Kluyveromyces lactis: one gene and its partner. The protein of the gene in region 1 binds, or shares a complex with, the protein of each later gene. Links are inferred from orthologs where the notes say so. Each region holds a gene or a part of one and is shown in the gene's direction. Other genes may lie near its edges.

Region 1 (4,317 bases):
AGTTTATTTAGTTTGGTTGTACGTAAAGATGTGGAATTCTAAGTTCACTGCATATCTTAGGTGAAAAGGAAATTGCATCGCATTCTCACATTAGATCCATTCTTTAAATTGGTTGATCAAACCGTTGGTGGAACTGTCGTGAGAAGAAATCTTGTTATCAGTGGCCAATTCACTACCAATAACCTTAGCCAAAACCTTACCTAATTCAACACCCCATTGGTCAAATGAGTTGATGTTCCAGATAGCACCTTCGGTGAATGTAACGTGTTCGTAGTAAGCAATCAAAGCACCAAGGGTAGCTGGAGTAATCTTTTGAGCCAAGATGGAAGTGGTTGGTCTGTTACCAGAGAAGACCTTGTGAGGTACTAGACCACCAGTGGCACCTTCTGATTTGACCTGTTCTTCATCTTTACCGACCATCAATGCCTCAGCTTGAGCGAAGAAGTTAGATGCTAGCATTTTTTGATGTAGGTTGTTTTCAATTGGGTTATGAGATTGGGCTGCCAAGATGAAATCAGATGGAATCAATTTGGTACCTTGGTGAATCAATTGGAAGAAAGAATGTTGAGCATTGGTAGCTGGTTCACCGAACAAGATAGAACCAGTAGAGTAGTTTGCAAAAACATTACCTCTGGTGACGGACTTACCGTTGGATTCCATAGACAATTGTTGCAAATAAGCTGGGAATCTGTGCAAGTATTGATCGAATGGCGCAACCAAATGTGTTTGAGCATCGAAGAAGTTGTTGTACCAAACAGATAATAGACCACCCAACAATGGAATGTTGTCTTCCAATGGAGTTTCAACGAAATGCTTGTCTACTGCCTCAGCACCCTTCAAGAATGCTTCAAAGTTGTCGAAACCGATGTATAGAGCAACTGACAAACCAATAGCGGACCAAACAGAGTAACGACCACCGACCCAGTTTTCAAAACCGAACATGTTCTTTGTGTCGATACCGAACTTTTCAACTTCAGTAGCGTTAGTGGACAAAGCAGCAAAATGCTTGGAGATATGGGATTGGTCACCACCGTTCTTAGATAAGAACCAGTTCTTAGCACTAGTTGCGTTAGTGATAGTCTCAGCAGTGGTGAAAGTCTTGGATGCGATCAAGAACAAAGTGGTTTCATGGTCCAAATCCTTCAAAGTTTCAGCAATATGAGTACCGTCAATGTTAGAAACAAAGTGTACCTTCAAGTTGGTAGCATAATGTTTCAATGCTTCAGTCACCATAACTGGACCCAAATCTGAACCACCGATACCAATGTTGACAACATCGGTAATAGACTTACCGGTGTAACCCTTCCAAGCACCAGATCTGACTTCTTCGGTGAACTCCTTCATGTGTTGCAACACAGCGTCAACCTCTGGAGTGACGTTGGTACCATCAACGTACATTGGCTTCAAACTTCTGTTTCTCAAGGCAACGTGGTACACAGCACGTCCTTCAGTGAAGTTGATTGGTTCACCGTTGAACATGGCATCTCTCAATGAGGTGACCTTAGCTTCCTTAGCCAATTGGATCAAAGACTTCAAGATTTCATCGTCAACTAAGTTCTTGGAAAAATCAAACAAGATCTTTGAACCATCGTAATTGACAAACGTCTTGGCAAACTTTTCATAACGAGAATTGTCCTTAGCAAACTCGTCCTTAACATTTAGCTTTTTACCCTTTTGTTCGTACAAAGATTGCAATTGGTTCCAGGCTGGCAATTCAGTTGCCAACTTGAAGTCAGAGTAAGTGTTCTTAGAAGCCATTTCTGATATTTGTCTTTTTATTTCTGTTTTAGAATCTATCTTAACAGAACTTTAAAACCTTTTATTGTACTTTACGGTCAGTTAAAAGGTCACTTCAGAATTCAGCGATTAAACCCTAATCACAAATTCCTTTCTACGTGACTCAAGAATACAATCGAAATACCAATTGGAAGAAGCAATTGATCAAGAACCTTCACCAGAGAATATATATATATAAAGAATCCACGATTTAAGTTAACCATTTCCCTCAAATTCGCAGGTGATGGAAAATACCAAATCCTTTTTTTTCTCAACGTTCCTATTATTTTCCATACTACGTTCAATCATCAATTCGTATATCCCATCGTTATTCGGAACAACTTGTAATTTCTGTCAGCTTCCGCTTTTTTTATTTGTTTCGCACCATCCAGTAAACAAATAGTGAAAGGCACGTAGAAGAAACCGGTGGTCCTTGGAAACCTTAGCTTCCACTAATACTCAACAAAAAGTCAGGGTAATTGTGGCACGTGATTCATCACGTGATTTGAAGTATTTATTCAGTTATATCTCTCAATGGTATCTACGATATCATTGATGTGTTTCTGTTGTTCTTCAAGATTTCCTGGGGTCTCTGTTGATTGTCTCTTCATGTGCTGCATCAAGTTCGCATGCATCTGGCGTAAGCGGGTAATATCCTCTTCGAAATTATCCGGGAAAGTAAGGCCAGTATTGCCCTCTCTGGCCATTCTTTTCACATCATCTAGTGTATCTATATCTGTCCATATCCTATCCTTGTCATCCACTTTTGGTGTAGCATGTACGTCGTCTGGAACGGTATCCTTGGGTAAAGTTCTCGGTATGGCTTTAGAATCCGTAGGTCTTCGTTCATTGTTTGAAGATTGCCTGGTTACCTGATCAAACGAATTTGATGTCTCCCTGCTAGATTGATCCATTGGGTATATGTAGCAATGAGTTGAGCAGTAAGTTAGGCTATATCCTTTGTATCTTACTTGTGCGGGTGCTCCCGCTGGCTGTGCTGTGATATTAAGTTGTAATGGATTAGCTTTTTTACGTATCAATCTCTAATTTTAATGATTCGAAAAAGCTAGCGACGACTGTTGAACTGAAGTAACTTCCTGCACTCGCAGAGATTTATCGCGAGTATAGCGGCAAATCTCCAGGTTTCTTTTGTCCAGACTGTAGTGACTATATTGTGCTAGTCGTTTCCCGAATAACAAATTGTCTTCTCTTATAGTTGTTAATGGCTGCGGGGAAACAATGGAAACGGTTATTGTGGTTGAAACAGCCGTTCCCAGATACCTACACTGATCCAAGTTTCTACAAACAATGGGAGAAGTTGAAAATTGAACATGGGCATTTGAGGCCTCACTCCTCGTACAGGTCTGTTTTACTTGATCTCTTCCAGTTTTACCACATGATTATTAATACTATGTTACTCTATATTATATTTGCCTGGTTCTATCATTACAAATACAATCCGATTTTAATTGCTGCCTCAATTTCATCTGTTTCCTTAATAGTTGCCAACAAGAGGGTACCCTGGAAATCCACTATCATCATTATATTTGCAATGTTGACCTTATCTCCAGTGCTTAAATCTTTGTCCAAGACAACTTCGTCCGATTCCATCTGGACTCTATCTGCATGGTTCACAACCTTTTACATCATATCGATCTCCGCTCTTGAATCTAAAATCCTACCGACCAATATTCTACTCTCAAATGTGACCGTACTTTCTTCAAGATTAGATACCTCCACCCAAGTTTTCTGTTTCCTTTTGATATGTATCCAAATTAACATTCTACTGCCGACGATGGAAAAGTATTTCATAAAGAATAAGTTGAAATTCCTGCATATACTATGTGTTATTGCGACACATGGTACAGTCTACTATTTTATAACGAAGTTAATGGGTGTCGGGATCACGATACCTTTGGGAATATCATCTTTGTTACTATTATTTGGAATCCCTCATTACTATATCCACTGGGAAAGCTACTATTATAAAGGACATCCGATTTTACAGCAGTGGGACGCTGAAAAACCAATATTAGATTAGTTATTAGGATTCTGTTAACATTTACATTTCATTGACTGCATTGATATCAATGCACATAAAATATACGTACTCATTGTAAATAATATAAAGATAAAGCGCATTCTCTTTTTTTTTATTTATTACAATTGGACAACTACTAGATATGTCGAATAAACGACCCTTATCTGGCTGAGTAAAGTAATCGCATTTACTCAATAAATGCACCACCAGCCAAAACTAGGTTCGTTCTTGTGAATTTTACTTTGTGAATTGCTGTTTTCTTTGTATGGAACGAAGCCATCAAATCCTGAGTTGGTATTACTGCCCGCCTACGTCCGAATTCTTTGATATCGTTATTTACACTGAGTTCCATATCTCCTGAATACGTGTTGAATTGTTGTTCCGGCTCCATTCCAGGCTCGTTTGTAAACCTCTTTATATCCCAAACTCTAACACTTTGATCCGCACCACCTGTTACTAGACAGTTACCTTCTTTGTTAAAAGTTATGGAATAGATAGGA
Region 2 (4,367 bases), on another chromosome or scaffold:
ATTCAAGTTCTACCCTCGTGTGTGCTATTTCCAAACTATTTCAATTTGAAGAGCATCACTGGATAAACGTTAGTGGTCAACTGTGAATAATCTTATTTGTTTCTCTTACGTTGGACTATTTTCCCTGTCACTCTCTGGTTTGCTTCATTGTGAAATCTATATTTGAGTTTGAAATTTTGCTTTCGTTAATTTGTTATTTGAAGAGTCGGTCTTGACGTCTTCATTGATCTCTGTTTTGATTTAGATCAGTTTATACTTGTATCAAGAAACGACAGAAAGTTAGTACGCGGAAGGTTATCTGAGAAATAGATACTTACCGGCCTTGAGGAAGAAATCAGCTCCCCAATAAACCCAAAAGAAATAGACGGAATATCATAAAGCAGCTATGGGTAATTCAGGCTCGAAACCATCTAAAAAGGCTAGCAAGTCTAAGAAAATAGAATCTGCGTCTTCCAATGGATCTAAATCCAGGAGTAGCTCGAAAGCAAGTGAGGTGAGTTCGAAAAAGGATACTTCGCCTCAATTGCAAAAAAGTGATACCATGCAATCAAATAAATCAGGAAGGTCCATCAGATCGTTGAAATCAAGGCGATCTCAATCTCAGCTGCAATCGCCGTCTAATCCAGGAACGCCGAAGCTTTCGGCTAATAACCACGAAACATCCCTGAGCAGGAAAAATAGCAGTACGCTTCCTTTGTCACGACACGGTTCCAGTCAAAGTGCATCAAAGGAAGACGAGAGAAATGGGCAAACACTTAAGACTGCGAGATCTTCCAGTTTTTCAACGACCGGCGATTTGCCCCCTTCAATGGTTCAGATGGCTCCAAAGACCCCAATTTTAAAAGGGTCTACTAACAACCCGCTGTACTATGAGAATGCATTAACTGATGATGATTACGATGATAACAATGATGATTCGATATCTTATAAATCATCTTCATCACGCCACCGCTCCAGTGCTCGCCGTGCCAGTTCGTCTTCAAGGAGAAGGTCTAATGGTAGTGCGCATCATTTGGAAGTGCCGCAGTCTGGAAACAGCATAAGCATGGTAAACCATGGAAATAGCACAAGTGGGTCACCAATCCAGATGAGCAGGTCTTCATCTAGATCGAGCACTCATAGTCGGAAATCTTCAATGTCAATGGGTCAATATAGCACACCAATGGCGTCTCCTGGGCTAAATGCAATGGATCCCGATGTCCAGGACTACTTTGATACAGCTGGAGCAAGCCAAAGAGAAATCGATGACGGCAATGGGAATGATTACCGAGGTGTATCTAACGGAGGTACAGATGATCATCCAGAAGGGCTTGGAAATGATGTTGAACTGAACGCGGAAGGTAAGCCTAAGAAAAAGAAACCGATTAAGCCCATAGATATTGATGAAACAATTCAAAAATTGTTGGATGCCGGTTATTCTGCGAAGAAAACAAGGTCAGTAGCATTGAAAAACTCAGAAATCACGCAGATATGTCAAATGGCACGGGAAATATTCCTCTCACAGCCGTCTTTGTTAGAACTATCACCACCGGTTAAAATTGTGGGCGATGTTCACGGACAATACGCAGACTTGTTAAGATTATTCACAAAATGTGGTTTCCCACCATCAGCTAATTACCTTTTCCTAGGCGATTATGTTGATCGTGGTAAACAGTCATTAGAGACAATTCTGCTCTTACTTTGCTATAAAATCAAATACCCTGAAAACTTTTTCTTGTTAAGAGGTAATCATGAATGCGCAAACGTCACAAGAGTTTACGGTTTCTATGATGAATGTAAAAGACGGTGTAATATCAAAACTTGGAAAACATTCATTGACACATTTAACGCATTGCCCCTAGCTGCGATCGTAGCCGGGAAGATTTTCTGTGTTCATGGAGGATTATCACCAGTATTGAATTCAATGGATGAAATTAGACACGTAAGCAGACCTACTGATGTTCCAGACTTTGGTCTAATCAATGACCTTTTATGGTCGGATCCAACAGATTCTCCAAATGAGTGGGAAGACAACGAACGTGGTGTGTCTTACTGTTACAATAAGGTTGCGATCAACAAATTTTTGAATAAGTTTGGCTTTGATTTAGTTTGTAGAGCACATATGGTCGTCGAAGACGGCTACGAGTTTTTCAATGATAGAAGTTTGGTAACGGTATTTTCTGCTCCAAATTACTGCGGAGAATTTGATAACTGGGGTGCAGTAATGAGCGTGAGCGAAGGTTTATTGTGTTCGTTCGAGTTGTTAGAACCTCTAGATAGTACCGCATTGAAACAAGTCATGAAGAAGGGCAGACAAGAAAGAAAGCTAGCCAATCAACAACAACAACAACAACAACAACAGCAACTGGAACAAATACAAGAGTGAAGATCAATATGTTGTTTTCATTACCAACAATCACATATCGATGTCATACTCAATTTAGCATTGGTGGCTTGATTAACAGTCACATTAAATACTTTACAGTGTTTATTTTACATTCTCGTCATTTCTTACCAAAAGAACCATCTCAATGATATCTTATTAAAGGACAGTTATTAGTGAAGAGTCCTTTGGGTGTTTTTGCCATGAGATTCAACAAATATATTTTTCAGATGTTGAAGCTTTCCCTTACTAATCTTCGTCTTTATTCGTAACTACTACTGTGGAGATTAACACTTACATATTCGATTCTAGGAGTTAATCCTAAGTGTTTTCCTCAAAAACAAATCTTTCTAATAATGACTGGCAAGAAAAAGTCGGCAAGTGTTACGGAAAGGACACCAGCTCGAACCGATTCCCAAAAAATCACCTCTTATCTACTATGTGACATTTACCGTTATTTTCAAACATTTTCGTCTGCCTTTCCTATGTCGACTGCGTACGAAACTAAAATAAAAAAAATCGATGAACAAAATCAATAAACACTATCGTTCGTTATATAAATGTAAAATAAGAGAGTAATTTAGTAATAATACCTAACCATCAAATGTTTGATTCCACTTTGATCACTTCAAACCATCTCTAAATATATTAACGCTCATTATCACTTACTTATGTTTTTAAATGAATAAAGAAAGACAGTATGGCGGATTTTCCGTATATGTTTCATCCACATTAGTTGTCTTCTTTATAGTTGTGTGGGCATTCTTACCAAAGATTATACTACAAGGACAAGCCATAGCCGAAGTTTACGAGATATTACCTCAAAGATATTGGTTAATAGCCATCCAATGTCTTGTACTAATGACAATGCTTTTCACTTACGTCGGAATGCTTTCCTATAATATTGACATGTTAACGGTCCCACTTGATGATATGCGAACGATAACTGATACTCAAGGGAGAATAGTTGAATACAAAAACTTCTCGGAGTTAGATTGGTACATCACTAATGAAACTAGCGGTGTTGCAGATTTACCCATAAATGAAGTAAGCCGAGTGCTTTATTTGCAGGAATGATCCTCTGAATCTTCCTTAGAACAAGAAAACAGTATGGGTAAAAATGATGTTGGTGACGTTCTTAAATGTTAATAATGTAATCTATTTAAATGACATCAAATACTATACAAAATATAATGATTAATGATGCGTGAAACGCAAGGGATTTGGATGACAGGAAACTTTTCTTATCCCGTCGTACTTCGTTGGAAGACGAACATATAGATGCTTTCGCTCTACCGAAAGATAATTTCTACGTGAAAATCAGATAGAGATGATGAATAACGAGGAGCTTAGGAGCATATGGTTTCCTTCACTTACGTTCAACTGCACTTCAATGCGCGTTTTAGACAGCGCCAGCATTGCTGCGGAAAATTTCGATATTATGAAAAGGTAAACGCTCAGTCAGTGGAAGAAGAACCACGGCCTCTGCCGCCTCTGCCACCCCGGTCTCTGCCGCCACGACCTCTACCACGACCACGACCACCAGATGAAGAATGACCACCTCTGTTTTGATCCTTCAAGAAACCAGCTGCTGGAGCAAATAGACCGTATTGTTGTTGCTGTTGGGATCTGTCATCAAACTTCTTATGGTAGTTGTTGTTCGAATCGGAATTGTATCTGCTTCCGTTGTTGGAGTGATCACCACGGTATCCTCCACGACCCCTACCACGGAAGTTACCTCTACCACGACGGTTACCATTGTTGTTATCATACCTGTCAGATCCATTGTTAACGTTATTGTCATTATCTCTAAACTTAAAATTGTTGGAATAGTTTTGGTTAGAATTATGGTTGGTATGTTCATCTGATCCGTTACTCTCGTTTCCAGAACTATTGGAATATTCGCTATTTGCGTCAGCTTTTAAGCGTCTGGCTTCTTCTTCAGCTTGCTCTTGAGCATGTCTTCTTTGTTCTTCTTCTCTGGCTGCAGCTTCTTTGATAGCTT

The links. Proteins that work in one complex are often made in the same cells at the same time.
Region 2: GPI2 (region 1) and GPI19 share a complex: the UniProt entries of both Saccharomyces cerevisiae proteins name them as parts of the phosphatidylinositol N-acetylglucosaminyltransferase (GPI-GlcNAc transferase) complex. The link is inferred for Kluyveromyces lactis from reciprocal best matches to the Saccharomyces cerevisiae genes GPI2 and GPI19.

The regions. Positions count from the first base shown.
Region 1 is NC_006041.1:2,090,684-2,095,000, reverse strand, and holds GPI2 (phosphatidylinositol N-acetylglucosaminyltransferase), read left to right. Parts: upstream 1-2,998; coding exon 2,999-3,817; downstream 3,818-4,317. Other genes in the region: PGI1 (glucose-6-phosphate isomerase), read right to left, coding at 91-1,758; KLLA0_E23497g (DUF5315 domain-containing protein), read right to left, coding at 2,295-2,690; TAF5 (chromatin modification protein), read right to left, coding at 4,005-4,317. UniProt on the Saccharomyces cerevisiae protein: Part of the complex catalyzing the transfer of N-acetylglucosamine from UDP-N-acetylglucosamine to phosphatidylinositol, the first step of GPI biosynthesis.
Region 2 is NC_006038.1:87,703-92,069, forward strand, and holds GPI19 (phosphatidylinositol N-acetylglucosaminyltransferase GPI19), read left to right. Parts: upstream 1-3,043; coding exon 3,044-3,439; downstream 3,440-4,367. Other genes in the region: PPZ1 (salt homeostasis regulator), read left to right, coding at 386-2,365; PSP2 (Psp2p), read right to left, coding at 3,820-4,367. UniProt on the Saccharomyces cerevisiae protein: Part of the complex catalyzing the transfer of N-acetylglucosamine from UDP-N-acetylglucosamine to phosphatidylinositol, the first step of GPI biosynthesis. Involved in cell wall biosynthesis.